7 separate regions of the Mus musculus genome follow, and all the other regions are reported to be linked to region 7. The links are microRNA targets in miRTarBase. Many come from high-throughput screens and were not tested one by one. Region 7 holds a microRNA gene; each other region holds the end of a gene's coding sequence. Distances are from middle to middle.
What was found. The annotated mature microRNA mmu-miR-3089-5p reads UGAGUUCAGGGACAGCGUGUCU and lies in region 7 at 1,540-1,561, opposite strand. An mRNA with a match to its seed (bases 2 to 7 or 8) in the 3' UTR can be bound and repressed. Matches are read on the target gene's strand: a 7mer-m8 pairs with bases 2 to 8, a 7mer-A1 pairs with bases 2 to 7 and ends in A, and an 8mer does both.

Region 1 (4,065 bases), 100 Mb from region 7:
CAGAGGCTCTTTCTGATCTCTGGTCATTTGTGAGTTAAGTCACTGGGGACAAGTTTCAGGGCTCAGGAGGTTTTCCTCCTGTAAACTAAGGCATCACCAGTTGTATACTTCAAGAATCACTAGAGCACTACAAATTCCATTTTCTGATTCAAGGAATTGTTTTATGACCGGGGTTACAAAAGAACAGTCTATTCTGAGAATTAATTCACCTAATGCTTTGATCTTTATCATTATCTTAAAGTAGAATAAAATACAATAAGAATGAATATTCCAGGTAGTTTTAAAATGGATTTTCTTAAAAAGTTAAGTCAGACAGTCCTTAATAAACATGAAATTACATTATTCTTATTGTGTGTCTGTTTTCACCATAGGATATATGATTGGATGCCTGAACAGCCAAATATATTCCAAGTGGAGCAGTTGGAGCGCCTGAAGCAAGAATTGCCAGAGCTTAAGAACTGTTTGTGTCCCACTGTTAGCCACTTCATCCCTTCTTCTTTCTGTGTGGAGCCTGATATCCACGTGGATGCCAACGGCATTGATAGTGTGGAGAACGCTTAGTTCACAGTGCACAGAGGACATTTAGGGGCACACCGCTGCCCTCATGTTTAGTTTTCACCATCGAGCACTGCTGTTGCCTCTTAGGTTTTTCAGTCCAATGAAGCAATAATGAAGTATTTTACTATTTCATTACAGGTCCCGCAAGAATATCAAGTATGCTATTTGTCACTTGTCCAGGTATAATTACCAATCAGTCTCTGTACAATAAGAAAATATACTGTTAAACATTTCAGTGAGATATCTAAGCCTATAATGGTGAATCTTCATTAAAAGTTGGAAATTAACGATATAAATATCTCATACTTAAAGTTCAGGCTTTTCATTTGATTAAGTCTTAAATCTTCAGTGCTTGAGAAAAATGATTGCATAATTATACCTGACCATGGAAAAACTAAGTACCTCAATGCATGCATTTGCACTGGTGGCTCCAGCTGCACAGGTCTGTGTCATCCATGTACATAGGTATCTTTACATGGTTGATAGGAACACGCACCATTTTCCTTTAGTATAAACCTCAGATTGCTGCCATTTCTCACCTGACCCAAGCCAGCCTGCAGATGAACCTCAAAACTTGTCTCATAAACCATTCAAAGATATTAAAGTTCCAGAATGCTGCAGGGTAACTTAATGTATAAAGTATTTGTAAGAAGTATATATTGCATATATAGTAGTGTAGATCAGAAGGTATCAATTTGACTCAATGCATGCTTTAGGTTTTAAGCATGAGATTGTACATGTTTACTGTTAAGTCCTTGCATCTGGTGCTAGGTGAGGGAGATGTTAAGGACATAAAATATTTTGTCGCCTAAAAAACAAAGTCTGTTTTAGACACTTTGAGTATGCTTATTTAGTGTCTCACTACCTAGTAAACATAAGTGTCTCACTACCTAGTAAACATAATTGCTGTGTGTTGCATAGTAGTTAAATTCCCATGCAGAAAAATAAATGTCCTGAATTCTCAAATTGGTATTCTTTATTGTTTAATATATATCATGTATGTAATTTATTTAGGAATGTAGATCTTACTGTATATAAATGCATGCTTTTAGGATTATACTAAGATTTCTTTAGAAGCAGATTGTACTGATAAAACTGTAACTTCAGAATGAATGTTAAATAAAATGACAGATTTATTTTTTTCCTCATCTTAAAATGAAATTTCAAGAAGGTATTTTGTAGAATGGTTTTATAATGGTATTCTGTCTTACAAATAGAAATTTTATTCTGCTTGTATGGGCCGACTCACCACACTTTCTCAGTGCTCCTGCTGAGGCAGTTTGTGCATGTATTGACAGAAGTTAAAAACATAAGACTTGAGATGACAAGTTGTACTTTTTTTTTTCTTTCAATTTTTGACACAACCTGTGTAGCCTTGGCTGTCCTGGAACTCACTGTGTAAGCCAGCTGGCTTTGAACTCTCAGATACATCTGCCTCTGCCTCCTAAGTGGTATTAAAGTCATGCGCCACCACCTTTGGCTTCCTGATTTGTTCTTAACAGTGCAACAATGGGGGTTTGGGTCAGTTCTTCACTGTGGGGAGATGGGGTCAGAAACCCTATGGTATTGTATTTGTAACATGATGTTTAGTGGAGCATAGTTTAGAAAATGGTCTTCTACAAGGGTATTTCTATATACTTTCCCATGTTGAATGAATCTTTAACATTTCCACATAATCAGGTACCTTCAGAAAATGTAATTGACTTTCTTCATAGACCTGTGTACCGTGTGGTGTGCTCCCTTTGCCTCTCTAGTTTTGTTCTGTGGCCATTCCCATGTATTTTCCCTCCTAGCTCCATTATTGTGTGTAGGACAGAAGAAAAGCACAAGGGTGCATCTTACAGAGGACTTGGTAGGGACTGGGCCCAAGCAGTTTAGTTTGCTGAGAAGAGCTAGGCTAGTGTACCATAGAGCCTGACCACTGTCTTCTCCATTACTAGTTGATTAGACTATGTGAGCTAACCTAGTGCCTCCATGTCACTAGCTGTCACCTTTCCTCTACTCAGCCATGCTGTGACTAGCTCTGCACCACTCCATCTGTGCCTATATGTCCTTTGCTTGGAACCTTCCCCATCAACTGGCCCACACTCTTGCTGCCTCATCTAACTATCCAGTGCCAACACTTTTGAATATTTTACTACTCCTTATTGCATTTACCAGTGATCTTACAGAGCCTTGGGACATTCCAGAGACACAGTTGGCATTCATCTTACCAACTTTACTTTTATTTCCACAGTAAATGAAATGTATTTATTTATTATGAAAGCACATTTTGAAGTGGCTTACATTATGACCACTGGGATAGCTTATTGATGTCAGTTATTACATGCAGATGTTTAATGTTAAATTATTTTACACTTTCTGGAAAGTTCTATGATTCTCTGGCATTTGCTCCCTATACTAGCTCTGCTCAGTATGGAGGCAAGGCATACAGCTCCCTCATGGAGGTGGTGGTAAGGATTGGTCTGACCTCTTGTCTGTGAACACAGAGCTCATTGGACTTGTGTGTGGTGCAGGGCAACTTGCCAGTCATGCACGATGACAGATCATTTCCCTTGTGCCTTTTTCTCTGTAGCTGTCACTGCATGTGTCATCTACAGTGTAATGGGTTTGGTTACATTAGCTTGATGAAAGAGCACTTAAAAGTTCATTCCTACATCTTAACAGCTACTCTGAAGATTTTTTTCATAAACGATTTTTGTGAATTTTATATTATGTACCCCAATCCCACTTATCCCCCTGACCTTATCTGCCCTCCGCCCTTGCAACACCCCCAAAAGAAAATAAGTCTCTCGGAAGCTGCAGTAGTATGTCACTTAGTATATCCTTTTGTCCATCTTTATTTGCAAATGCTCACAGCAGTAAATCATTGATCTGGTTCGAGGCCTCTGGCTTCTGCTACACTATCAATACTGGATCCTCACCTGCACTCCTCAGCTATCCTGTGTCATGAAGGTCCTGCAACTTTAGATCTACAGAACCAGCCCCTTTATGTGCTCTAGCTGTTCATAGATGGAATAGATGTTGGGATGGCCAGCTCAAAGCCCTGGATCTGGGCTTGGATGGTAGCTGAGTTGCTCAGCCCGCCAGCTCCTGCACCCCACACCACCAGGGCAAGCTCTCCAGCACTGACTGCCCCAGCTAGCTCATCCAGTGCTGCGGCTGGCAAGGGGCCAGTGCCAGCTCTTACTTCTCATGCCTTCGGGGCTGGCTCTACTGTGCTGCCTAAGGGAAGTGCTGGGCCCACTTCCATATGCTGCAGCGGCTGAGGCATGGAGCCAGTTCTGTGTAGCCCCTAGACATTAACAGGCTCCCAGGTGTCAAAAGAGTCCAAATCTAACACGTGGGGGGTGGGGGGTAGGGGAGGAAGGAGGGTCTTATTGAGCCTCAGGGATTTTCTAAGTGACTGGTCATAACTAAAGTGGGTTTTTCCTTCTAGCGTCACAACTGTCCTGTATATTTTATTAGCTACTGCAGTCCCCGGCAGCCTGGAGTTTTGTTCTGATT
Region 2 (4,057 bases), not on the chromosome of region 7:
CAGGCAGGATAGGTCTTCCCTCTTCGTGACCCTGATCTAGAAGCCCCTCACAGACAGGCCCAGAGGTTTGTTTCCATTGCAATTTTAAATCCCACTAAGGTGATGTAAAGATTCATCATCACAGAGGCAAAGAGGGGAGGGAGGGGCATCCTCAGGGTGACAGAGGCAGCAAAGAAAAGGGCCCTGAGTGGAGTCGGGTGTTGGGTGTCTGACTCAAACTTGCTGTCGGCGGGGAGAAGGAGTCTGTGTGAGGAACGGGCAGAGAAAGAACTGTGGCTCTGGCTTTGCTGCTCGGGTCAGTTAGTGGTCAAATAGTGATGACCCTTAAGTAACCTCTTCTTCCTACCGCCAGCCCTCAGCAGCCCCCTGCAGCTCCTGGCAGCCCAGGCAAGTTCATCCACTCCAGTGGTCATCACCCGGGTGTGTGAGGTGGGGCCTGAGGAGCCAGCAGCAGCCGTCTCAGTAGCCGCTAATGCAGCGCCAACCCCAGCCGCCTCCACTACCACATCTGCCTCTTCTAGCGGAGAGCCCGAGGTCAAGAGGTCCCGGGTAGAGGAACCCGGTGGGACAGCCACCACACAGCCCACAGCTATGGCAGCCACCGGCCCTCAGGGCCCGGGGACCGGCGAGTGAAGTGTCGCCTGCAGGAAGGTGGAGTGAAACTCACGCCACAGGAGCCCTAGTGGCCAGCAGCTACATTCAAGGACCGAGTGGAAAAGCCCATCACAGCCTGCAGCCCTCATGTGGGTGGCCGCCGCACTCGGACAGTTTCCTTTTTATCTCCTGTCCTCCCATGGTTTGAAACAAACACATAAACACGTACAGACAACTTGATTGTATGAATCTGGGGGTTCTGTGTGTTTATTTACCCCTCTCTCATGCCATCGCCTCTCCCCAGTTCTTGGGGGAGAAGGTCTATCTAGCCCAGCTCCTCAGGAATGGATCCCAGGCAGCGCCCACAACAAGAGCCTGAGCCCCAGGCCTGGACAGAAGCACAGTGCAAACCCAGGCTCCTCTCTCTGAGAGTGGGTCCACGGATTTCCTATTTGTGACTGATCCGGGAATAGACCAGAAAACAGAATGGCAAGAACTTCCCAGCCACAGGCTAGGATACAGAGCCCTCTCCCCAAAAGTGACAGAGACTGTGGCATTAACTGGGGTCAGGGAGATCTGCTTTGGCTTTGGACCCTAAATATTTCTTTCAGCTAAATATGGAATCTGGGCTCATCTCCAACCTGAGACACACAGAGCAGACCATGTGTCTCTGAGGTTCCCTTTTGTAGGCAGCCAAGCAACACCAGGCCCTGCGCTCGACCACACCAGGCCCTGGTGAACATGCCGCTCTCCCTGATAACTCCAAGAAGGATGGGCGGCTCCCACATTGATGGATCAAAGAGCTCTGGGTTGAAAGTCAGCCCAGGGCCAGTGCCCACAGCACTGAATGAGTCGAGAGCTGCAAGCTACAAACGGATCTCCAGGGAAGCCTGAGCCAGCTGCAAGGGAAGTCGGTCAGCCACTTGCTCAGCAGGAGGATGATGGATGGTGGGTGGTATGCGGCAGGAAGACAGCAGAGGATCTGGGCGGTGATCTGCTCACACCGTCTCCTCCCCCACCCACCCCACCCCCATTCCAGTTAACTGAGAACCCTGTCCAGTTTGAAAATGGAAACCCTCTTTTCTACCTGACCGTTATCCTCTGGAAAGGAAACTACCTCTCCGGACAGCAGTCGGTGCCAAGTTTGAGTACAGTGCAGCAAGAACCAAAGCGTGGGTGTCAGCTGAGGACTTGGACGCCCGGGGAAGGTCCCTTTGCATGCCGGACAAGTGACCAACAGCACTTTAACATACACCACACCAAGTCTCGTGAGCAGGAGCCATCAAATGTTTCTCTCTGTGAGAATGAGAGTTGATTTTATAGAAGCAGTCATGGGGGCTGTGCGACAGGAAACTCCAAAGCAGCCAGAAACTCAGTGTTGGTCCTCCTAGAGGGTGGTCGGTAAGCAGCTGGCAACAACTTGGACAGAGCCCCAGGCCCTGTCGTTGGTATCAAACCACCCACCAGTCAGCCGCCTTCTCTGCCTGGTGCCGGTCAGAAGAGGCCCAAGGGCCCTGTGGGCAGAGAGCAGGCTGGACAAGCTGCCTTTGCTGGAAGGGACTCCAGACCTGGAGGCTGTGGTCACAGGAGAGCAGATGACCGGGATGGATAAGTCCAAGCTCCGATGTATGGCTGCTGCCATTGAAGCCACCAGTGCCCCCCACACATCAGGGACCAGGGCGGAGCACCTGCCTCCTCTCTTGAGCTATCTCCCAAGCTCCCCAGCCAGTCATTTCTGTAGTACTCGGCTTCAAGCCAGTGTTTTGGAGGTCTCCTGCCTATTGCCTGGAAAGGTTCAGAGAAGTGGGGCTGGTGTGATGGTGGCTGGGGGAGGGGTTTCCCCTCAGAGGGGGCAGAGGGCTGGCTCTGTCTCACATCTTCCCTTGGTACCTGGCATGAACTTCTCTCTGTGTGCCTGGTGTGAGCCTGGGGTTAGGGAAGAACGAATGGGGTGGAGATCTGAGTTGCGTAGTGGGCTGAGGTGACAAGGGACGTTGGTGCCAGCTGCTGATCTTTCCCTCCATCACCCTTTACTCCAGGGCTGTCCATGGTCACCCTCCAAGGCAGATTAAGATTGTGGATGGTCATGAGCAGGTTGCTGTCCCAGTTCCTGAAACGTGGGCTCCGTGCTCTGAGGCAGATCTTCACCATTAACAGGGGCGTGGAAGGGTATGGAGAGAGAGAGAGAACACACACTGTCCCGGTACACGGCCTGACGGCCTGGTTGGACAGCCTGAGCTACAAGGAGGCTAGACTAGTGCTGCTGCTCTGCGGAGTGGGTTTGGTCATCTGCTGGGCAGAAGCTGGCACCAGAGCGTGCTCCCACAAGCTCTGAGCCAGGAGGGCCATGTCCACGCACTGTGTGGCCCATGGCTGGCAACCCTGGAGCACCCCACTAAGCCCTGGGTTGGGGGAACAATTCAGGAACAGATGTGAAGCCTTTATAGACAAAGGAACCCCTTGGGCAGTGGTAAAACAGTGTAAGGTGGGGGTTAAAGGTCAGTGAAATGTAAGAAGAAACCCTTCCCCATAGAGAGAAACGGGTGGATTGTTCCTGTTCTTCCTCAAAATCCTCAAATTTCATAACACCCACGTGACATTGCTCGCCCAGTCCCTCCCTCCCCATCCGAACTGCACAGTGCCTGCTTAGAATAAGTCAGAAAGGGGTGGCGTCTCAGCTCTAGTGAAAGGTCCCTCATGTGTGGGAAACATCACATCCTGGCCAGGAGAGGCAAAGTCACCACAAATGGCCACAGGGTACCCCGAGGCTAGGTCAGGGGGAACAGAGCGGCCACCTATATCCTCACCTCCGGTCTCCCAGAATACCTCTGCTTAGAAGCAATATTAAAAAGGATAAGTCAAGCTGTTCCAAAGATTGCCACTGCAGACACCACTTCCCTTCAGAGCAGGCCCTCTGACAGGGACTTTGGCTTGCTGGGCCGGGTGGGCGGGGCAGAGAACAGAGGCCTTCTGCCTGCTGCTTCAGTCCTGCTCCCCATTTAATGCCCCCTTTCATCTTGGGAGTTCTCATGAACTCAGGGTGGGTCTTGCACCCACCTGCTTGTTGGGCTCTAGATTGTTTTGTTTTGGGTTTTGTTTGTTTGGGTCTGTCCTGCAAGGTGAGCTACTAGGCCAGTGCTCTACCACTGGCTGTACTCCCAGCCATTTTGATTTTTTAAACTTGAGATGGGACTCACAAAGCTGCCCAGGCTGGCCTTGAACTCCCAGTCCTCTTGCCTCAGCTTCCTGAATTTCTGGGGTGATGGCCTACATGCTACCATGGCCCAGCGCTGTTTGCGTTTTGTCTTTTTTTGTTTGTTTGTTTCTGTACCAAAAGCTGCTACACTGGTGACACAGCAGGGTGTGGCCTAGGTGCCCCCACAGACTGGCATATGGCACGTCTCTCTCTCTCTCTGCCCTCCCTAACCCCTAACGTCACAGCTGCTTGGCAAGGGAACATTTT
Region 3 (4,065 bases), not on the chromosome of region 7:
CATGTTGCTGGAAGTCCTTATGTCTGCCCTATAGCCTTCATGCGGCTGGCTCTGTAGTCCTCTTGACTCAGGGAAGGCATCTCCCCCATGCACTTTTTCCTCTAGATCTTAGCCTCCTCGGTCTCCTACCTCTCTTTTCTAGGGAGCTGAATCTGAGGCTTCGAGATGAGAGAGATGCCTGTGAGACCAAGCTGCTGGGCAGTAGCCACAGGAAGGCTCTAGCTATTGCCCACAAGCCCGGACCCATCTACTGCTGCTGCTGCTGTGGCTGGGCTCGGCCCCCCAGACGAGGCTCTGGCCATCTTCCTAGTGCCCGATGACCAGCCCCGAGTGACTCACTTCCCTATCCAGAGGACTGCCCCTAGGAGGGACTGGTCTTGGTGGCGGATACTTGCTAAGTGTGTGGCTCTACCCAGAAGGCATCCCATGCCTGAAGGAGCTAACCTCAGAGTAGTCAAGGCCTTCAGTCCTTCAGTCTTTATCCTGTCTTCCTTTTTTTTGGGGGGGGGGGTTTCGAGACAGGGTTTCTCTGTGTAGCCCTGGCTGTCCTGGAACTCATTCTGTAGACCAGGCTGTCCTCGAACTCAGAAATCCGCCTGCCTCTGCCTCCCGAGTGCTGGGATTAAAGGCGCGTGTGCCACCACGCCCGGCTATCCTGTCTTCCTTAATCTTTGTCTGAAGGACCAATAAAGGCCATTGTATACTGTGTACTCCTTGGCTCTTGTGTGTTTGGGAGCCACGGTGCATTTGTGGTTCATGCTTGGTATCCATGGCACAAGGTGACATGGAGGGGTTTACAGGTGCACATTAACCCCTTCGTTCCTGCAGCTGGGGGTTCCTGTGTGCTTGTGTGTGTTCTGTGATTCTGGATATTCACCAAGCCCTCACCCATTCCTCCCAGCTGAAGCTCCCAGGACTCAGGTTTCAACAGGTGTCCGCTCCCACGCTAGTCCACACGTGGAAGGTCCCGCTCCTCACCTCCGTGGTCAGCTAGCTTTCTGGTCCAGGTCCTTTATCCATCATCCTTTGGCACAGTTCCTAGCCAGACCATATGCCACCCACACTGGGCACCTCTCGCAGGGCCCTCATGTCTCTATGGAATCTTCTGGCACCCTCCACACTGTATCTGGAGTTTCCCCTCTAGCATTTCTTCAGCCGCTAGAACCTGCAGCTTTAGAGTGGTTCTCCCGGCTTAGACTAGAGAAACTGGTCTTGACCTCAGTTCTGGACCTCTGGTGGGCTAGGTGCCACCTTCCCCACCTCTTCGCTCCCCACCTGGGTTCTACCTCTGGTCTAGCTCCTCTGTCTCTGGGCGAGTTGGGGCTTTTGATGACAAACGGGGCACCTTTAAACTAACTTTACAGACCCACAGGTCTCTCTGGCGCGCGCCTTAGCACCAAACCAGTTAGGACTTGCCTGCCCAGGCCGGCCGTGGGCGGGGCTGCGCCCGGGGCGGGGTCGCGCGCAGGGCGTGTCCTCGCAGGCCCCGGGCCGAGCGTTCTCTGTACTCCGAGTGATCGCTCCTACCGTGGCTGCCGGGGCTGGTATTTCAAAGCGTGGTTGGTGAGTGCTCCGTGAAGCATAGCCGGAGGGTGTGGGGAGCAGTGTCCTGAGTTCCTCGCTCACTGGTGTTCCTAGTCTCCAAGCTGGCCTCAGGGACGCCCAGGAGGCAGAGCCTGAGGTAGGACAGGGTTGCAGACTCCTTTCCGGAAGATCGACGCCGGGGCCGGGCAGTTAGAAGGCCGGAGGGGGAGGGGTGAGGGAGAGAGCTTCTGTGGTTCTTGAGCAGGCCTGACGGTCTCTTTCGTGCAGAAACCCAGAAATTTAAAAGTCTGACCACCCTATTCATTGTCCCTGGACACCGGTTCCCTCCCCTGAGACCGCAGGTCCGCCCACTGGCACGGGGCGGGGGAGGGCGGCAGGGGCGGTGGTGACTTCATCTCTGTGACGCGGGGATTCCTCGCCCAGCCCACTTCAGTGTTTAATCGGGTCGGTGGGGCGGGTGCCGAAGGCCCAGGACAGGTCCAGGAGCTAAGTGTAGGGCGGTTGTGTCCAGGCCGCAGGAGCTATTTCTGGCTGGTCCAGGCTCTCACACCGGCACTTTCACAGAGAATTTACATCCAGTCTGCTGATTGTCTCTTGGCTTAGGTTGATGGATGTGTCTAAAAGCCCATAGATTCTGGGCTTTTAGAGCCTGGCCCCGGGGGTTTGCATTGTGGCCAGGCTTCTTTATGTCATTGCCCGCTTTCAGTGAGGCAGCATGCATTTTTGGGTCCCATCTCCAAATAGAGCTCTGAAATCTCTCCCACTTTCCAAAATGGACAGTCGATGCATCCTCCTTCAGTTTGCGGTCGCTGCTGTTTGGTGGGGGAGGGACTGTGATGGATGGGACTGGAAGGTGGGGCACTTGGAGAAGGCATTTGGTCCCTCCCTAGATCAGGCAGGTCAGCCATGTTCTTTGGCCTGCCGCCGTCCAGTAGAAAACAGCAGGCCTGCCTGTTATGCTTCCTTGCAGATCTGGTGGCTCTGAGAACCATTTTGACCACTGCTTAAGCTTCTGTAGTTGGAGTGGCAAGATCCCACCTGCTAGGTGAAGGGCAGAGAGTGACTTTTGACCTGTACCTGCTGGTCCTGACTTGAGAGGTGAGAGCTGGTGCCTGGGCAGAGCCTCAAGGCCCCTGGCTAACAGTTCTGCTTAGGTGTGTGTCTGGGAATCTGACCTGCGTCAGCCGAGGTCTGTACACTGTCCTCAGTCAGACAATAGTGTGTCTAGGGCAGGGTGTGACTAGGGGACTCCTGGAGGAGTGGCACATTCACATATGTGGAACTGGGACCTCCCCCTACAGTCGGGAGGAGAGCTGGTTGTACAGGCTCCACCTACCGGCATCTTATTGTCTCTGCCCTGGCTGGTAGTAGAGTCAGCTCAGAGTCCTCACAAACTGTCCCTTAGGGTGGCCTGAGCTCTCTGCCATATCTGGGAACGGGTATGAGTGGTAAGTACCTAGCAGCCTGATTGTGGGACTCAGGGAATGCTTGGGGGTGCCGATCAACAGGAATGTACCCTGAAGGTCTGCTGGTGCTTCCCCCCCTGTTGCCAGCAGGAGTGAGTCAGCAGATGTTGGGGGGTCCTCCATGATAACCCACCATGTGTCTGGCTGTGAGGAGGTTAGTTCAGGAAGTGACTCATAAGGTTCCTGGGAATGCTCCTCTGAGGGCAGATAGCTGGCTGAGCTCCAAACTGCAATCATCCGGGGACTGCTGGATCTCCTCCTGTCTCCGTTGGTAGATAGCTTTCTTCCTACTTGGAGGCCTGGTGCTTCAGGCCATCTGACCTCCTCCCCGTTCCTCTAGGCCCAGGATGGGTGAATTCAATGAGAAGAAGGCAACATGTGGCACAGTCTGCCTCAAGTACCTGCTCTTTACCTACAACTGCTGCTTCTGGGTGAGAAGAGCTAATTTCTCCCTGCATCCCTAGTCCCCATGTTGGAGGCCTGGCCTGGGGGGCTCAGTCCCAGCTTCCAGACCCAGGCCAGATGTGGTGACCAGTATATACTTTCTGCAGCTGGCCGGCCTGGCTGTCATGGCAGTGGGCATCTGGACACTGGCCCTCAAGAGTGACTACATTAGTCTGCTGGCCTCAAGCACTTACCTAGCCACGGCCTACATCTTAGTGGTGGCTGGTGTTGTTGTCATGGTGACTGGAGTCCTGGGCTGCTGTGCCACTTTCAAGGAGCGACGGAACCTGTTACGCTTGGTCAGTGGGGCATGGTGGCACACGGTGGGGCTAGGGGTGCCTTGCATGGATTTCTCAGGGGGCCTCTGGTACTGGTTCTGGGGACTTAACTGGTTGAGTGTATTACTGCAGGCTGTCCCTGTTGGGGCAGACACGAGCTTCAGAACTATGAAGGAGCTAGGCAGCCCCAGAGTGTAGCTCCTAACTGAATTCCTCTTGCTTGGCCTCCTGGGTTGGGGGCTTGGCTTTGTGGTACTCTGGCACTAGCAACCCCCCACTTACTGGGTCCCTGCTCCCTAGTACTTCATCCTGCTCCTCATCATCTTCCTCCT
Region 4 (4,065 bases), not on the chromosome of region 7:
CCCAGGGGAGGGGCAGGGGAAGGGGAGGCAGGAAGGAGGATCATAAAACCTGAGGGCAGTTTCCGGGAGCTGGTACTATATAGTAGGTGACAAGACAGCCTGGGCTAGAGACACTTCCTCAAAAATCATTTTGTCTGTGTCCTATGTAAATAAAAGTTTAGAGACAACATAAAAATAGGTCAAGTTGAGCCAGGTGTTCACAGGCCTGTAAACCCAAATCTGCTGCAGCTGTGGAGGCAGAAAGATCCTACAGGCAATGTCTCGAGAAAGAGAATGTAGCTGTGGTCATGATACCTCACTTCTATAATCCTGTGTAGGCCTGGCTGGCCTTGAACTCACAGAGCTCTGCCTGCCTCTGCCTTCCGAGTGCTGGGATTAAAGGCATGCACCACTACAACTAGCTACGATTTACTTCTTTAATGTCTACAAGTATTTGCTGCATGGATGTGGGTACAGCATGTGTGTGCTGTGACTGCAGAGGCCAAAAGAGGGCATCAGATCCTCCCTGTAATTGGAATTACAGATAGTTGTGAGCTGCCATGTGGGTGCCAGGAATTGAACCAGGGTCCTCGTCAAGAGGACTTGGTGCTTAAAAGCAGTGTTTAAGCCACTTCCTCGGAACCATCTCAAGAATTAAAAGCAAACCTTTATAAATACTTTGACTAAATGTATGTGCATCATGCATGGCCTGGTGCCAGAAGCGGGCACCAGAACCCCAAGAACTACAGTTGGACAGATGGTTATGGCTGCCAGGTAAAGTGCTGGTAACTGAGCCAAGGTCCTCTGCAAAAGGAGCAAGTGTTGTTTGTGGCTGAATGTTCTCTTCTGCCTCACCCCTCGTTTCTAGGGTGCTGGGATTAAAGGCCTGCACCACCAGCACCCAGTTTTTATTTATTTATTTATTTATTTAAGGTTTTTTTTTTTTTTTCGAGACAGGGTTTCTCTGTGTAGCCCTGGCTGTCCTGGAACTCACTCTGTAGACCAGGCTGGCCTTGAACTCAGAAATCCGCCTGCCTCTGCCTCCCGAGTGCTGGGATTCAAGGCATGCACCATCATGCCCGGCTCAGTTTTTAAAGTCCAGACTTCGAGGTAGTGTTTTGTTGCCTACTAGGGTTCACTTTCATCTTAAGAACCACAATTCAGGCTGGGTTATCCAGACATATTCTGGGACTACTTTCTAAAAAGCTGCCCCCTACAAAGCACCATTGATGTTTATTAAAGGGTATAGATTAGGTCAGACAAAATAGAACACTTTAATATTTTGTTGTTGTTGCTTCTGTTTGCTGTTGTTTTGAGACAGGTCTTCTCTGTGTTTCCCAGGCTGTCCTCAAACTCAGAGATCTGCATGCCCCTGCCTCCCAAGAGCTGGGATTAAAGGTGTGTGCCACAGCCACAGCTACCACCACCAGGATGTTAGAACTCATCTTTAATCCTAGCACTCGACAGGTTGACACAGCAGGGTTATACATTCAAGGTCAGTCTGAGCTATAAAGAATGTCAAGGCCTATCTGGGTAATTTAGTGAGATCCTATCTATAAAAGGGGAAAAGAGGGTCTGGGATGCATCTCAGTGGAAGAGTTTACATGTATGAGGCCCTGATTTCTATCTCAATCATCACACACATTAAAAAAATAAATAAATAAAAAACTAAGACAAGTTATAGCCAAGTGTGACGTCACACACCTGTAATCTCAGCACTGGGAAAGTTTAAGGGCAGCCTGGGCCACATAGAAAGACCTTATATCAGAAAAAAACAACAGTAAAAAAACCAAACCAAACCAAAAAACCGTGCTGTCTATTCACAAGCCAAGCCCGGGTAAGATATACATCAAGGCTGGAGTTCAGAAATGACCTGATTATCCCAGGCCACTTTCATTTATTTTAGAGGTGAAGAAACTGGAGTCCAGAAAGAGTAGCAGCTTGGGCCAGATAGAGATATTGGTGGCACACTTAGTTTCCTGCCTATTGGTCCTGCATTTTGCCTAACCTCCTATAGCAGCTTACCTGGTTCAATCCTGTGTAATATCCCAAAGGACAGGAAACAGAGACATATCTGTAGGTATCTAAAACTCACCTATGTTAGGAATAGTGCTTTTGTTTGTTTGTTTGTTTTGGACAGGGTCTCACTATATAGTCCTGACTAGCCTGAAACTCACAGAGTTCCCAGGTACTGAAATTAAAGGTTTGTGTTAGCCACCACACCTGGCTTCATCCTCTCTATGAAATATTGCTAGAGACAAACCCCAGGGCTTTGGGTATGCTAAGGCAGAACTCTACCTTTGAGCTACATCCCCAGTCCCTAGCCCCCATTTGACAGAAGAAAAAAACTGAGTACACAACCAGGTGTGGTGTCCTAGCACTCAGGAGGAAGAAACCAGGCTATCTCTGAGTTCAAGGCCAACCTGGTCTACTTAAGGAGTTCTAAGCCAGCTAGGACAACATAGGTGAGGCTCTGGATCAAAAACAAACCAAAACAACTGAGGCCCCATATTTGTCCACGGTCACAAAGGTAACAAAGGTCACAAAGGTCAGTGGAGCTGGGTCTCAGGTCAGAACAGTGCAGCCTCAGAGTCCACACTCTAAATCGTGTTACAGCCCAGAAAGAACAGCCTGTGGGGGAGGGGTGGCTTCTTTGCAGCAACTTGACTTTTCAGAGTATCATCACTCAAACCTCTCTACTTGTATCTGTGTTCAAGGGCACCTGTGCCACCTGACTGCCTAGGTCATAGTCAGTGAGCCCGCCTGCCCACTCTATCAACACCACAGCCTTTAGGCCTGTTTGCTTTTCAAAGGATAACCAGCCACTCCCGTTTATAAACTCCAATTTGATTTTAATTAAATAAATTAAATTCCAGGCCATCACACAGCAATGGACATCATCATCTCCCAACATACAGAGGTGCAACCTTGCTCTATGATCGTACTGTCTTTAAAACTCCTAAAGCTGGCTCTCTAGGGAAGGCTTCCTCCCAGCTTCCTGGCTCCCTCCTTCCAACTGAGCCACTGCTCATGGAGAAGGCATCAAGTACAAAATGGTAATAAAGGGGAAGGAGAGACAAGGAGCGATGTGGGAGGTAGGGAGGTGGGGAGTGCCTGCCCCCCATCCCGGGCCCTAGCCCGGCTTCCTGTGATCTGCCAATGTCTTCTGAAGGCAGACATTGGTGCTGGTCTAAGAGAGGACTCCCAAGGGAGGGGTAGAAACCCGTCCTGGGAATTGCCTTACCCTCCTGGGACAGAAAAGGGTCACCTGGGAGAGATGCCCTCTATCATCTGTTTGCCAAGGGTTCTAGACCACACATATAAATAGAAACGAGAATAAATAAGGGAGAAGGACCTGCTGATGAGAGAGTACTCTGGGCTCCCCTCTGGCGGCAGTACCAGCAGAGGCTTCTGATGAGTGTCCACACGCCCAAGACAGAGCTTGCCCCTGACTCTCAGCTGCCAAACTCTCCTCTACGCTCACGCAACAACTGTTGCCTCCCAGATGCCTCCCATGTCAGACACCCTTCCCGCTCACCCCACAGCCCAGTGTGCTGGGGCTCCCTATAACCCGAGGGCTTTCCTGGCCCCAGCAGTGGGGATCCAGGAAGGGGTACAGAAGGGGATGTGGGGGACAGACTAAGAGAACTCTTGATCTCTCCTAGCTCGGGGGCTTTCAGAGCTGGGGGCTAGGGTTGCCATTGGCCTTGGGTTTGGATTTGAAGGAAAAACGCTTGATAAGGCGACGGGAAAAGCTGCCAGCCTTCTTCCGGACGCTAGGTGTGGCCGTCGTGTTGGACAGGTCATCGTGTGACTGGCTCAGACCAGCTTCCTTCTGTCGGGGCCTCCGGCGGAAGATGAGCTTTGTGCCACTGCGCAGGAAACTCACTGTAGGGAAGAAGGGAAACTGAGGTGGACGGAGGGGCACAGGTCTGGGATGAGGGTGGAGAAAAGACTTAGGAAGTTAATACAGAAGATGACGACTGTACTCTGTCTCTTCCCTAATGCCTGCCTTTCTCAGGAAAGGCGGTGGAAGCGCACGCGAGCTTCACCCATCCTGAGGAAGGAACACAGTCCTAGGGGGAG
Region 5 (4,065 bases), not on the chromosome of region 7:
CAGGCAGATTTCTGAGTTCGAGGCCAGCCTGGTCTACAGAGTGAGTTCCAGGGCAGCCAGGGCTACAGAGAGAAACCCTGTCTTGAATATATATATATGAATGAAATTAAAATGAGCCAGATCTTTGGTTTGGGTTTGAAGCGCCATGGTTGGAGGTGGAGGTGTGGGGGAGGTTAGACTAGAATGAAGCATGAACTAAACCTTCTGTTCCTTCCGAACATATTTCAGAAATATGCCGAGCGCCAGGCCAGCAAGCCCATGATTCGTGATGGAATGGAGCTTGTTCCCCAGCCGGATGATGGCACATCCATCTGCCAGTGCCACCGGAGGAGGCCTGAGAGGGAAGAGCTTTGAGGAGACCCAGCTCCATACTCCTTTGTATGCCAGCTGCATCTTTAAGACTTGTGAAAGATGCTAAGCTGTGAAGGACCAGAGAAACCAGGCCTGGTGGGTTAGGCTCACACCCGCAATCCTGGCACAATGGAAGCAGAACAAGAGGATTTCATTAGTGCAAAGCCTACCTGAGATTTGTGGTGACTTCCAGGCCAGCCCAGCTTACCCAGTTGGATCTTATCAAAAGACCAGAACAAAAAAGAAATGTAGAGAAATGCTAAGCTTTTAATCCCACACTCGAGAGCCTAAGTCAGGAAGATCATGAATTTCAGTATTATGAAATATCTTTGGAGTTGCTTGTTTGTGCACCCTAGTGGATAAAAGGCTCATAAATCACTGGGAATCCGTGGGTGGCACGCTCAGGTGCACTGGCTTGCTTCTGTCTTTATCCAAGATAAAAGTCGAATTCACTTACTTTTATATTCAATTATGAAGGGCAAAGTGTTTGGGGAGGCTCGACTGTCTCCTCCCTGTGTTGTTTCTCCTCTTGGTTTTTTTGGTTTTTTGGTTTTTTTTTTTTTGTTTGTTTGTTTTTTTGTTTGTTTGTTTTTTGGTTTTTCAAGACAGGGTTTCTCTGTATAGCCCTGGCTGTCCTGGAACTCACTCTGTAGACCAGGCTGGCCTCAAACTCAGAAATCTGCCTGTCTCTGCCTCCCAAGTGCTGGGATTAAAGGCGTGCGCCACCACCGCCCGGCAAGAATTTGTATCTTTAACTAGATCTTAGAAATATCAGCATGACAAATATCCCATATGGACATGAGAAGAAAGACTGCCTCCCTCGCTTCTACCTCTTTAACCACAGGTTCAGAAAGAAAAAGGTATTTTGTTAGAGACACATTAATTTTTTTAAATTGATGTCGTTTGAGGCTGAATAGTCCTAGCAGAACTAGGAGAAAAAGAAGTTGAAACAAACTAGGCAGTTTCTATTGACTTGTCCGATTCTCATTTTGAACAGTCACACCTTGGAACATTGCACTGGACACAGAGTCTTTGACACACAAACCTGCAGGGGACATTTTACATCCAAACCGTAACAAGTCTATCAAGAAATCTAGGTTAACTCCACTTGACCGTAGCCTTTGAAATGAGTTTTACATGGCTTTATGGTTCATTAACTTGCACATACCTTAGGGGAACCAGCTGGTTTATTAAGCTCCAATTCCTTCCCTTCCAACTTAACCAATTGTCCATATAGTCCATTAGCCACTTTTAATACTGAAGTATTTATCAAAATATATCTGGCTTCAGGGCCCATGAGTTAAGAATAAGGAGAAACCCCCAGAGAGGGACTGGAGGGAGAAAGGGGACAGTGATATAATTATACCTTAATTTCAATAGAAGAAAGTTTTATATGACTTTCAAAAAAGGGAGGGATGTAAGGCTATAAAGATATAGGTGTGTTTATTTGAATAAACTGTCAACAATGTTTATGGCTTGAAACACTGGCCGTCACCCATCGGTTGTGAGCGCATTGCTTGCATAGCTACTGACATTGCTCGCATAGCTACTGACGAGTGGAGGAATTGAGCACCACCATCAACAAGAAGAAACCAGTTTTAATTATGCGGGAATGAAAGCTTTCCATGACCAAAGGCACAGGACAGAACGTGAAGACATTTCCTAAAAGAAAGGGTTGGTTGGGAAGAGTACAGAGAGAGGGGGATTTTTATTTTCGCTTTATACCATTTTATAATATCCAAATTGGTTTTAAACTATGGATATAGAATCAAGCTGTAAAATAAGTGTTAACATGCTAAAAAATAAATAAATAAATGCACAGAGGAGACGATAAGAAGGGGAAAGAAACAGATATTTATGTTTTCCACAATGCCATATTAAGAATCCATGTCTAGAATGTTGTCCTGTGGTTTTATTATATACTCTTTTTTTTTTTAAATAAAGCACATTTTTATAATAAGAAAGGGAACTCCATGTACTTTAAGATTCATACCACCTGCACCCTGATATGTCTCTAAGGCTTGCTTATTTCTTAAAAAAATATATTTTCTGTGTCTGAGTGTTGCCTGCATAAATATTACTACCCCACACCTTGCCTGGTACCCACAGAGGCCAGAAAAAAATGGATTCCCCGGAACTTAAGTTACAAATGGCAGTGAGCTGCCATGTGGGTGCTGGGAACTGAACCTGGGTCCTCTGCAAGAGCAGCCCGAGCACTGAGCATTCCCTCTGACCCTGCTCTAGCTTTCTCTCCATTATGTCCTCATGAATAACTGAACTAAAACTGCTGTCATGGCCATTCTGTCCCTATTGGGCAGAAATGGGGGCAAAGTGCTTTATACCACTTTACATTTCTAACATGTGTCTCATTCCACTCTTCTAATCCTGCCCTTTCTGCTTTTATTCCTCCCCTGTGCCTTCCTGACTCCTCCCACACCAATCATTAATCAAGAAAATGCCCTCACAGACTTGCCTCTAGGTTAATCTGATGAAGGCACTTTCCCATTTAAGGTTCACTTTTCCCAGAAGACCCTAGCTTATATCAAGTTGACAGAAAGCTAAGCAGCAAACAGACCTTCATGGGCTCACATGTCTGAACGCTTGGTTCCCACTTTGTGGTGCTGTCTGCAGAGGTTACTGAGCCTGTAGGAGATGCAGCGGTGAGAGAGAAAGACCATCCCTGGGGAGCAGGCTTTGAAGGTTTACAGCCTGCCCTGCCTCCTGCTCTCGCTGCACTTCTGTGTGGCTCCTGAAGCCAAGCCAACCCTTCCCTTTCGTGGTGGCCGCTGGCGCATACGCAAAATAAGCTTTCTTCTTCAAGTTGTTGCTCTGGCATCTTGCCACAGCAACAGGAAAGTAACGGATACACGTGTTTTCCAAGGACTCGCCTTTACTGTAAACGACTAGGCGGCGGCAAGAAGAAACAAACTCCCTAGAGAAACACGAAAGCTGTCTTCCCACCACATCAGGCCATCTGCCCAGGTTTCATGTCCCACGCAATGAGTAAGAGCCCCCTACCACGACACACATCACTGCCCGCAGACGGGGCTCTGGGGTAGAAGCTAAAAAACCATCCATGGACAATTGTTTGCCCTCTGTGCCAGGACTCTAGCATTTGGGGTTGGGGGAGGGGGGCGGGGGAATTCACCAAGCAGTCCACGGTGTGAACCAGTGTGGAGTGGAATGGTGCCTCGCAAAAGGAGTAATATAAATAAATATTTTGCTCTTACTGGCATTATGTTATTTCTGTTACTAATGGGAGCTCATGGATTTGGACAGCTGCACTGGGCCCAGCGAGCCGGGTGAACATAGAGATTGATAGTAGCTAACCTGACTGGGCTTGTTGCAAAAGTCCCTGGAGCTAATTAGCCAGAAAATGAGCTGTAACAGCTGACTGGCTAACGAGGCTGTATATAATCAAGTTATTTTCGAAGTTCATTTCTGTTTCTTATAAACACTGGTGCTCAGCGAAGTTCCCAGAAAACCTTTCGCCCCTGGTAGATTCCTGTCTATTGAATAGATTTGTTGAGTGTTTCTGCTCGGCTTGAGTAAACCTTTCTGACTTTACTGTTCTAGGGAATTTAAGCAGTTTTGGCCTAGTCATCGGGGCCTGAAGAGGAAGCACAGCGGCCCCGAGAATCACTGGGTGAGTTCTCCACCAGGCGCGCCTTTTCTCAACTTTCTTCGATTTGTGATCCGAGTTTGATTGTTTGC
Region 6 (4,065 bases), 61 Mb from region 7:
AGCCGGAAGAGGAATCCTCAACCCTCCCTCAGACTCAAGATTTTTCTTTGTAAATGAGATTTTTTTTTTTTTTTTAAAGAATGTGTGTGTGTGTGTGGGGGGGGGGCTGGAGAGATGGCTCAGAGGTTAAGAGCGCCGACTGCTCTTCTGAAGGTCTTGAGTTCAAATCCCAGCAACCACATGATGGCTCACAACCATCCGTAATGAGATCTGATGCCCTCTTCTGGGGTGTCTGAAGACAGCTACAATGTACTTACATATAATAAACAAACAAACAAACAAATAAATAATGTTGGGGAAGAAAGGGTTTAGTTGAACTTGAACTAGTCTGTTGAGTTTTGTTTTTGGCACACCAGATCACTTACCAATCAAATCCAAGTCTTTTTCTTTTTTTCTTTTTCATTTTTTTTTATCTTATTCTTTTGGGGGAAAGAGAGGGTGGTGAGGGCACAGTTGCTAGACTCCAGACACTGTGAGACCAGGCATTGTTTAGGTGGTACTTTGAGAGGGGACATAATTCTAGCAACAGTTTAGGATTTAGAAAAATCAACCATTGAGAAACTTGAAACTAAACTCTACAAGCAGCATAGTATTCGGGCTAGAACATTTCCAACTTTTCACTGGAATAATACCCAGAGAACCTGAGAAGGGCTCCTTAGCATCTTATTCCTGCCTCAAGATTCAGTGAACACATTAGGAGAATGTAGGTTTTTGTTTTTGTTTTTGGAGACTCTGTTTCTTCCTTGTAGCCTTGTCTGTCCTGGAACTAGCACTGTAGGCCAGACTGGTCTTGAACTCACAGAGATCCTCCTGCCTTTGCTGGGACTAACGGTGTGTACCACCACATCCTGGCAGAATGTAACTTAAAAAAAAAAAAAAAAAAAAAGGGCTCCGAATGTGTGTGGTGCTGGAGATAGAATCCAATTCCCGTTCCAGGATTTTTCATATCACATTGGACACTTTTGCTGGTTACCATCATTGCAAGGCAAAGTTGAGTTCTGTGACACGGGAGTCCTCAATGAATGAAAACAGGATTCATGGTATATATGCCCTGACACTGGCTTTGGAACCTGGAGACATCTCTAACGATCATGATTGTGGTCCTGTCCTGACAGGACCTCAGGCAGCTTCTATCAACCCAATGAGCTGCAGCCAAGGTGAACCTCTCTGTCATCCGTCCTCTAAAGGAAATCAGGCTGACATATCAGTCAACTCTCTCACCATGTTCTCAGGCTGACATATCAGTCAACTCTCTCATCATGTTCTCAGGATGACATATCAGTCAACTCTCTCACCATGTTCTCAGGATGAGTTGAAACTCCGACACAAACCTTACACCCCTTATTTCCCTCCGTGGATCACACATCTCTGAAGACATTAGAGGTGATGTCCCCAAGTGGGTTTTCCACAGAATGGGGTCTTCCAGATAGTGCAGGTGCAAGAGTAGTCATGACTCCAAGCCAGCCAAAATAATTAAGAAAGCTAAATTTATATTAAATTATCATAAAGCCCTAAAATACTGAACATAGTGGTTAAATAACTCCAGAAAGTCCAATCTCTCCAGTGAGTAATGTTAAAATCATTACACATGAGCATGGGAAAATCGCTTCCATTAGTTTAGGACAGAGAGATTTTTGCCCTTTTTACAGAGTAAATCAGTGCTCAAATAGATATTTCCTCAAATTCGTCCTTTCTACATTCTGAACAGCCCAAGTGCAAAAAGATCCTTGCCCCTTTCCACTCAGGAGGACACCACGCTTCTGTTTCCCCCCCCCCCCCTCCTCCCCAACTATGGATTTAAAGGCTCAAGTGCTGCCTCATTCTGTGTGAAATGTCCATCTTTCCTCTTAGAAGTGGCACTGTACTTTTCTCAATTGGTTTACTGGAAAAGGCCATTGGCCTGCTCTGGCTCTGTGTGCAGACATATATCTGGGCCTAGCTAATGACAACAAGACTAATGGTTTGACATCTGTCTCTTACTCGTAATAACTGACCAGAAAAGATTTGATCTTGTTTGTTCATGCGATGCCTGGCTGCTGATCTCTGAATAGCAATAAACCATGAAAGATGTTTTATGTCAGGAAACTTCCCCTAAAAGTCCTCTCCTCCATTCTCAGCACCTGCCAATCTCTCCTGTGCTTCGGTTTCTATGGAGAAGTGCCTGAACTTGCTCTGGACTGGTTCTCACCACCTCTCCACTCCTTGCTTACCACTTTACATCTTCACTGACCCTCCTCATCATTGGACATTAGCGATTGAGGTGACACAGGACCGGTTAGAGAAAGCAAGGCTAGACTCCCCTCTCTCAGAAGTAGAAAAACTGGGATGAGATTCTAGGGCAGCACAAAAAAAAAAAAAAAAAAAAAAAAAAAAAAATCTCAGCTCCCCTGAGAGAAGCCCTTGGCCTAAAGGAGCATGAAGCTAATGCTGGCACTTTAGTGTGGACAGGGGCTGAGAAGAGTTGGCACATGACCTTTACCACCCGAGAGCCACAGGCTGTGTCCATGAACTTGGATCCCTGAGCACTTGAGAATGAACTCAAGAGGTTCAACCTCACAATTCTCCTCCTGAGCCCCTGGGTGTCTTGTGTCTCTCTAGTTGCTCTTTCTGACCATTTAGGAAAATGTTGAGCCAGTCTTTGAAAGGCTGTGACAGAATTGTTTCCCTTAGAATCCCACAGAATGGAAGAGAGAAGAGTAGAATAGGTGAAGCTCGGGTAGGATGCTATGCTTTCTTTGCAGAGCTTCTTAAACGTTCTACAAGTCTGCTCTCCAAGGCCCACCCAATGTTCACTCAAGCTCACAGCATAGCTAAAGGCTTAAGAAAAGTACGGCCCATCACAGCACCAGGAGGGAATTCCTATTAGTGAGTTGCCATGGCAGGAGCTATCCAGTTATCCAAGGTAGAAATGGCCCCAGACATTCCAGCAGGAGGAAGAAGAGCCTAAGCCATTCCCACACTTCACCTGTATCACAACTGACAAAGCAGTGACTTCTGGATGAGGAGAATGTCCACTGCCAGCAATGGACATGATTCCAGGGCTCGAATCCCCGCCCCCCAAGGTTTTTCATAATTACCAACACTTGAGGCTGGAGGTTTCCCAAGCACCCAGACCAGCTGGGCTGCTTCTTCCTTCTCTCAACCTCTGTCCATTACCTTTTAACCTGTGACCTCCAGTCCCAGCCCCTGGTAGGCCAGTTCACAGGGAGGCCATCATGCCAGCTGTGATGGGGAAGACCAGAGTCTTATATCATGAATTGCATCGGTGCTGTGGGGCAGGCACATAGGATGCCAGGGCAAAGGGAGACGGAGCTCTGTGCTGACAAGGAATCACACTGAGCCCAGCTTCAGGGGGCCCAGGATAGAGTGCAAGAGGTGAAGTTCATGGTAAAATCCAGGTCTAAATTCTTGAGATGTGCCCTCACTTCTTGTCCCCAGGTAGTTTTGGACTCAGATGAGTAACAGGTTCTATGGGGGCTCGGGAGCACTTTGGGGTGGGAGGAGGAAGATGCGTGCATGGGAAAGGGCCCGCGTTGTTATGTGAGCACAAGGATCAGAAGTCCACAGAGGAGAATGAACAGGCAGGCAGGGAAGAGAATGTGGGCAGCACTTAGACCTGGCTTTCTGAGGAGAGCTTGCGTTCGTGTTTCCAGCCTGTGTCTGGCAGAGAGCCCCGTCTCTCCGGAGTGGCTGCAGTGTGAACACTGCTACACTCAGACTGCTCTTCCTGAAGCAGCTGCTCTGTCTCCGTGTCATCTAGGGAGCCAGAGCTGGCCTGGATGGACACTGTGTCTGTCTTCATGCATACGTGATCCCGTAGAAGGCCCCCCCTGGAGCTGCGCAGTTGCTTGAGGTCACCCCATTCAGCGTCATCCCCAGCCAGGAGGCGGATTCCCTCTACAATCTTGATCTTCTCCTTGGTGTAGCTGTGGTCAGGTCCACCCTGAGGTAGAGAATGGAGACACATGGTCGGTTGGCATTCTATAAAGGTCCTCATGGTGAGCTGAAAATGGAAGCAGAACTGAACCCAAGTGGCTAGGGTGGACAAAACCCTCACAGACTGCT
Region 7 (4,065 bases):
GAGCTTCAGGGCTGAGTTGAGCACAGATCTCAGAACTCCTAATGTTTGTTTCTTGTTCTCCTTCCCCAGCCTCCTGAAAACACGGATCCCCATCAGCCTAAAGTGGTCTGGGAAATGCTTGGTCTTCCTTACACTGATTCCTGTGTCTTTTTGTTGGGCTTTGGGTTGGAAAACTCTAGAAGAACCTAGATCAAATTTTAGAATTGAACCCTGAGGGTCCAGGCTTAGCTCACCCAGCAAGGCAGCTTCCCTGGCCTATGCAGCACAGCCACCTGCCTTACGCTGAGCTCTGGCTCCTTCAGAGGCCTCTGGCATTACCAGTGCTTCTTGGACAGTGTCTTGTTTCTGAACTTTAGGCCACAAAATAGAACAGACTGGGGTGCCTTTGGACCCAAGGGTAGGAGGACAGAGCTGTACTCCCAACTGAATTAGGAGGCAGAAAGACTGGGGGGTGGGGGGTGGGCATGGCATCCACAGAGAGGCAGGGGTGTGGGAACCCTCTGAGGGTGCCGGGCAGGGGCTGTGGGCCAGGCCTGGGAGCCTCGGGGAGGCCGGCAGGCACAGAGAAGGAGGCCTCCTACCAGACACTGTCTAGACGCAGCAATTATTGTCAGCTCGGAACACCCAGGCTCTGCCTGTGCAGCTGAAAAGGAGCTTAACAAAGAGAGAGGGAGGAAGAAGAAAGCGGAGCAGAGCCGCTCTGAGCCTGCCTGCCCGCCTGCAGCCCGCGGCTCTTTCTCTGCTTGGGCTCCCCCCCTCTTTGTGTTCCACAGGCACTGTTGAGGGGACAGCTCCTCACAGCTCAGAGATGCCTGATGGGGACAGAGCAGGAGGTGCAGCTCTGGGGCCCTGGCCAACTCTTCTGAGCTAGGCTTCTCAGAGTGGATGCTGGGAAGTCTGGGTCTTGTCCACTTTAGAGGGCTCTAGCCTACACCCTTGTCATACTGATGGGGAGCCTTGGGTCACGGAATGACAGCCTGACACCTACCCTCCTCTGCTTCCAAGGAGCCAGGCACTTTGTAGATAGGGTTAGGGGTGGGGGCTCAGAGAACACAGTCAGCCGTGGGGTGGCTTCAGGTCTGTCCTTTAGATCTGGGCCTTATTCTTCTCACCCTTGGGAGGAGGTGAGAGGGCAGGGCCAGCATAGCTTTGATGGGAAGCCCACCCTCCCCCGCCAGGACAGGGTTTCTCTGTGCAGCCCTGGCTGTCTTGGAACTAACTCTGTAAACCAGGCTGACCTTGAACTCATAGAGACCCTCCTGCCTCTGCCTCTTGAGTGCTGGGATTAAAGGTGTGTGCCATCACTGCCTGGCTGGAAGACTGTTATTAGCCGTGGCAGGCCCTTCAGAGCTGGAAGATGAGCACTTTGGATTCCATATGTGTCCTAGAACCTTCCCCCTCCTCTCAGTTGCCATTCCCGAGACCCCCTTGGCGTTGGCAGCAGTGGTGCTCAGAGTGTAGGGGTGGAGCCTCAAGGCCCTGGGTTTCTGCAGCTAAAAACACAGCTCAGGATCAGCAGATGCTCAGACAGAGAAACTGAGACACGCTGTCCCTGAACTCAGTTGCAAGCCACCAGCTGTTCCCCTTATCTCCCTGTTCCAGGGCATCTGGGCAGGGGCTCTGCTCTCAGCCCAGTCTGTAGCTCTAACTCTACCCACTAGCTTAGGCTCATGGAAAGGACCTACTGTGTGCTCAACTCTGCTCTCCTCTTGCCAGCAGTTGGGGTTGGGGGCCGGGTGGGGAGTGACTTGGTGGGTGGGCACCTTCTACATCCTGTGGAGGTAATGAGCAGTCCCAACCTACTGCTGGGGAAAGGCCTGAAGCTGGTCAGGGCTCCAGAGTGACTGGGTAGGGGTAGCTGGGTCCCTCTCAATCCTTCTCAATTAGAGACAAGGCCCTCAGAGCAAGAAACATGCATACCTGCCCTTACATCACACCCGAGGCCTCTTGATCTGTCCCCAGGACCTTCCCAGGCTCCAGGCATCGGCCTGGCCTGCCCGAGGCTCAGCCCTGCTGGCCACACACTGTCTTGTCTGCTGTGTCTCCCAGTACTCAATTATAGGAACAGAACCCTCCTCTCTCCCTCTGCACCATTACCATAACAAACCTGATTCCCCTGCCTATACTGCAGACCCACCGGGATCAGCCGGTCCACCAGGATTCTAGCATATTCTGCAATGCCACTGCAGCTCCCTCAGCCCTCCCCACTGGGTCTTCCTTTCACCTGGCGCTCTGAGCCATCTCTACCAGACCCTCAAATATGCGAAGCTGCCAGCCTGCTCCTGTGAGTTGTCCCCTGCCTCCTGAACAGCACCAGCCCTCCCTGTCACATAGCCAGCCCAGACAGCTTTCTGATTCCTCCCGCATCTGCACTAGGCTGGTCTTCCACCATGGCACAAACCAAGCTTGAGTTCAGCCCCCAGTTCCTAGCCTCTGGGAGCTTTGGAGACCTGTTCTCTCTGCTCCATAAAAGCCTGCCAAACCTTCCAGAGGCAGGAATTGATAGACCACTTGGATCTGAGGCCTGAAGACTGCCAGTCCTGTCTTCCCTGGCTTCGCATTAGTTGAGTTAGTCATCCCAGTAGATCCTCATGCACCCTTCTCTAGGACACTTCTGACCCCTGCTGAGATCACACACACAGCCAGTCTGCCTAAGTCCCTGATATTTCAGCCTTCTTGGGGGCACCCAATGCATTTTTTATGGCTCGCCACGCCTGCGAGCCCTGTGGGCCAGCTGTCTCTGGCTTGTCTCACTCTGTGAACCCAGCTCCTGCTTCTGAGGTGCCTTCCCAGCCTGACACCACCTAGAGGTAGGAGAAGTGACTTGGGCCCACACCCCCCCCCCCCCCCCCCCCGTAAGTGAATCCCTCTCGGCCCAAGCACCAAGGCAACCTCTTTGTCCTCTTTCCCAGGGCCTCCATGCAGACTCCCAGGAGTCACCGTGAAGGCCAGAACAAGGCTGTGCCATTGTGCTGCCCACTGACCTGAGAGCACTCCCAGGAGCTGGAACTGCCTTGTGCCCAGTTCCTCCCTCAAGCCCCCATGCAACTAGGCCAGTCCACAAGGACAGGAGGATGGTAGGTCCAGCAGGGGTGGGTACCCCACATCTATTCCTCCTCCAGAATTGGCCCAGAGCGTTCCCCAACCCTTGCTGTGGGATATCTAAGCCTCATCTTCCTTCCTCCCTGCCCTGCCTGTCCTTTCCCTCCAAATATCTATCCCTCTCCTCTCCTCTCCTCTCCTCTCCTCTCCTCTCCTCTCCTCTCCTCTCCTCTCCTCTCCTCTCCTCTCCTCTCCTCTCCTCTCCTCTCTCTCCTCTCCTCTCCTTGTTCTCGCCTCTCCTCTCCTCTTTTTCTCTCCTCTCCTCTCTTTTCCTCGTCTTCTCTGAGTCCTCCCTGGGCCTCCTTCCTTTCTTCTTCCTGGGTTAAAAATAATCAACTTTCTGGGAAGCGGCAGTTCCCGCTGAGCCGCCCTCCCCACACACGGGAGCCCCTGAGAATAGCTTTCTGCGGCTCTCCACTGAACCCCTCCCTCCCTCCTCCCTCCTTCCCTCCGCCCCCTCCCCGCCGGCTGACTAATAAGCCGGGCAGCCGGCTCTGCCAGCTCGCTGCAAGGGCGTTAACTGCTTCGTGCCCGGGTGGCGTTCAGCATATAGCGACAACAGGAGGGTTGTAGGGCACCAGGCCACACGGAGCCGGAGCTCTGGGCCCGTAGTAGACGTTTAACTAACCCAGCTCTGCTAGGCCGAGTGGTTTGGTGAACTTTGTCATCTAACTACCGCTGCGAGCCTGCTGCTGCTGCGGCTGTTGTGTGGCTAGCTAGTTCCTAGCTTAGGAGGAAGGGGTCAGTGGGATCAGTCAGGAGAGGCACCCAAGGGTCGGGACCACGTGAAGGGTGTGACTGGCCTAGTGACTCCTTGGCCCCGGATTCTGGGAACCATTGCGACGGGGCAGAGGTCAAAGGCAAGGCAAGGCTGCCTGCTGCTCTGGGGATCCATGCAGGTACCCCACTGGGAGGGACTTTGACAATTAAGAAATTACATCTAGGGAAACTGAGGTCCAGGGG

Region 1: miRTarBase lists Gpcpd1 as a target of mmu-miR-3089-5p. Seed matches in the 3' UTR shown: 7mer-A1 at 1,946-1,952 and 7mer-m8 at 1,973-1,979.
Region 2: the mRNA of Foxk1 is a reported target of mmu-miR-3089-5p. Seed matches in the 3' UTR shown: 8mer at 3,625-3,632 and 7mer-m8 at 3,812-3,818.
Region 3: the mRNA of Cracr2b is a reported target of mmu-miR-3089-5p. Seed matches in the 3' UTR shown: 7mer-A1 at 552-558 and 7mer-A1 at 581-587.
Region 4: the mRNA of C2cd2l is a reported target of mmu-miR-3089-5p. Seed matches in the 3' UTR shown: 8mer at 2,387-2,394 and 7mer-m8 at 1,838-1,844.
Region 5: miRTarBase lists Poglut3 as a target of mmu-miR-3089-5p. Seed matches in the 3' UTR shown: 7mer-A1 at 990-996.
Region 6: the mRNA of Lrp4 is a reported target of mmu-miR-3089-5p. The part of its 3' UTR that is shown has no 7-base or 8-base seed match.

The regions. Positions count from the first base shown.
Region 1 is chr2:132,527,049-132,531,113 of GRCm38, reverse strand. It overlaps Gpcpd1 (glycerophosphocholine phosphodiesterase 1), which reads left to right. Exons shown (of 20, transcript NM_028802.3): 20 at 372-2,032. The coding sequence ends at 561. Among named protein-coding and RNA genes, the nearest start is that of 1700026D11Rik, 38 kb to the right of the region's middle.
Region 2 is chr5:142,456,124-142,460,180 of GRCm38, forward strand. Foxk1 (forkhead box K1) reads left to right here. Exons shown (of 9, transcript NM_199068.2): 9 at 353-4,057. The coding sequence ends at 633. Among named protein-coding and RNA genes, the nearest start is that of Ap5z1, 5.8 kb to the right of the region's middle.
Region 3 is chr7:141,465,904-141,469,968 of GRCm38, forward strand. Cracr2b (calcium release activated channel regulator 2B) reads left to right here. Exons shown (of 10, transcript NM_001025103.2): 10 at 143-699. The coding sequence ends at 320. It overlaps Cd151 (CD151 antigen), which reads left to right and starts at 1,459. Exons shown (of 8, transcript NM_001111049.1): 1 at 1,459-1,563; 2 at 2,516-2,643; 3 at 3,352-3,442; 4 at 3,563-3,754; 5 at 4,034-4,065. The coding sequence starts at 3,359. Gm10575 (predicted gene 10575) reads right to left here and starts at 1,868. Exons shown (of 2, transcript NR_152219.1): 1 at 979-1,868.
Region 4 is chr9:44,307,401-44,311,465 of GRCm38, forward strand. It overlaps C2cd2l (C2 calcium-dependent domain containing 2-like), which reads right to left. Exons shown (of 14, transcript NM_027909.2): 14 at 1,837-3,867. The coding sequence ends at 3,656. Among named protein-coding and RNA genes, the nearest start is that of Hinfp, 3.8 kb to the left of the region's middle.
Region 5 is chr9:53,399,459-53,403,523 of GRCm38, forward strand. It overlaps Poglut3 (protein O-glucosyltransferase 3), which reads left to right. Exons shown (of 8, transcript NM_212445.2): 8 at 229-2,409. The coding sequence ends at 354. Mir130c (microRNA 130c) reads right to left here and starts at 1,428; the gene lies at 1,347-1,428. It also overlaps a transcript of 4930550C14Rik not described here.
Region 6 is chr2:91,511,307-91,515,371 of GRCm38, reverse strand. It overlaps Lrp4 (low density lipoprotein receptor-related protein 4), which reads right to left. Exons shown (of 38, transcript NM_172668.3): 38 at 1,471-3,943. The coding sequence ends at 3,611. Among named protein-coding and RNA genes, the nearest start is that of Ckap5, 13 kb to the left of the region's middle.
Region 7 is chr2:30,718,718-30,722,782 of GRCm38, reverse strand. Mir3089 (microRNA 3089) reads right to left here and starts at 1,573; the gene lies at 1,490-1,573. Gm14488 (a long non-coding RNA gene) reads left to right here and starts at 1,596. Exons shown (of 4, transcript XR_866106.3): 1 at 1,596-2,810; 2 at 2,913-3,077. It overlaps Gm39782 (a long non-coding RNA gene), which reads left to right. Exons shown (of 3, transcript XR_866107.2): 3 at 70-1,220.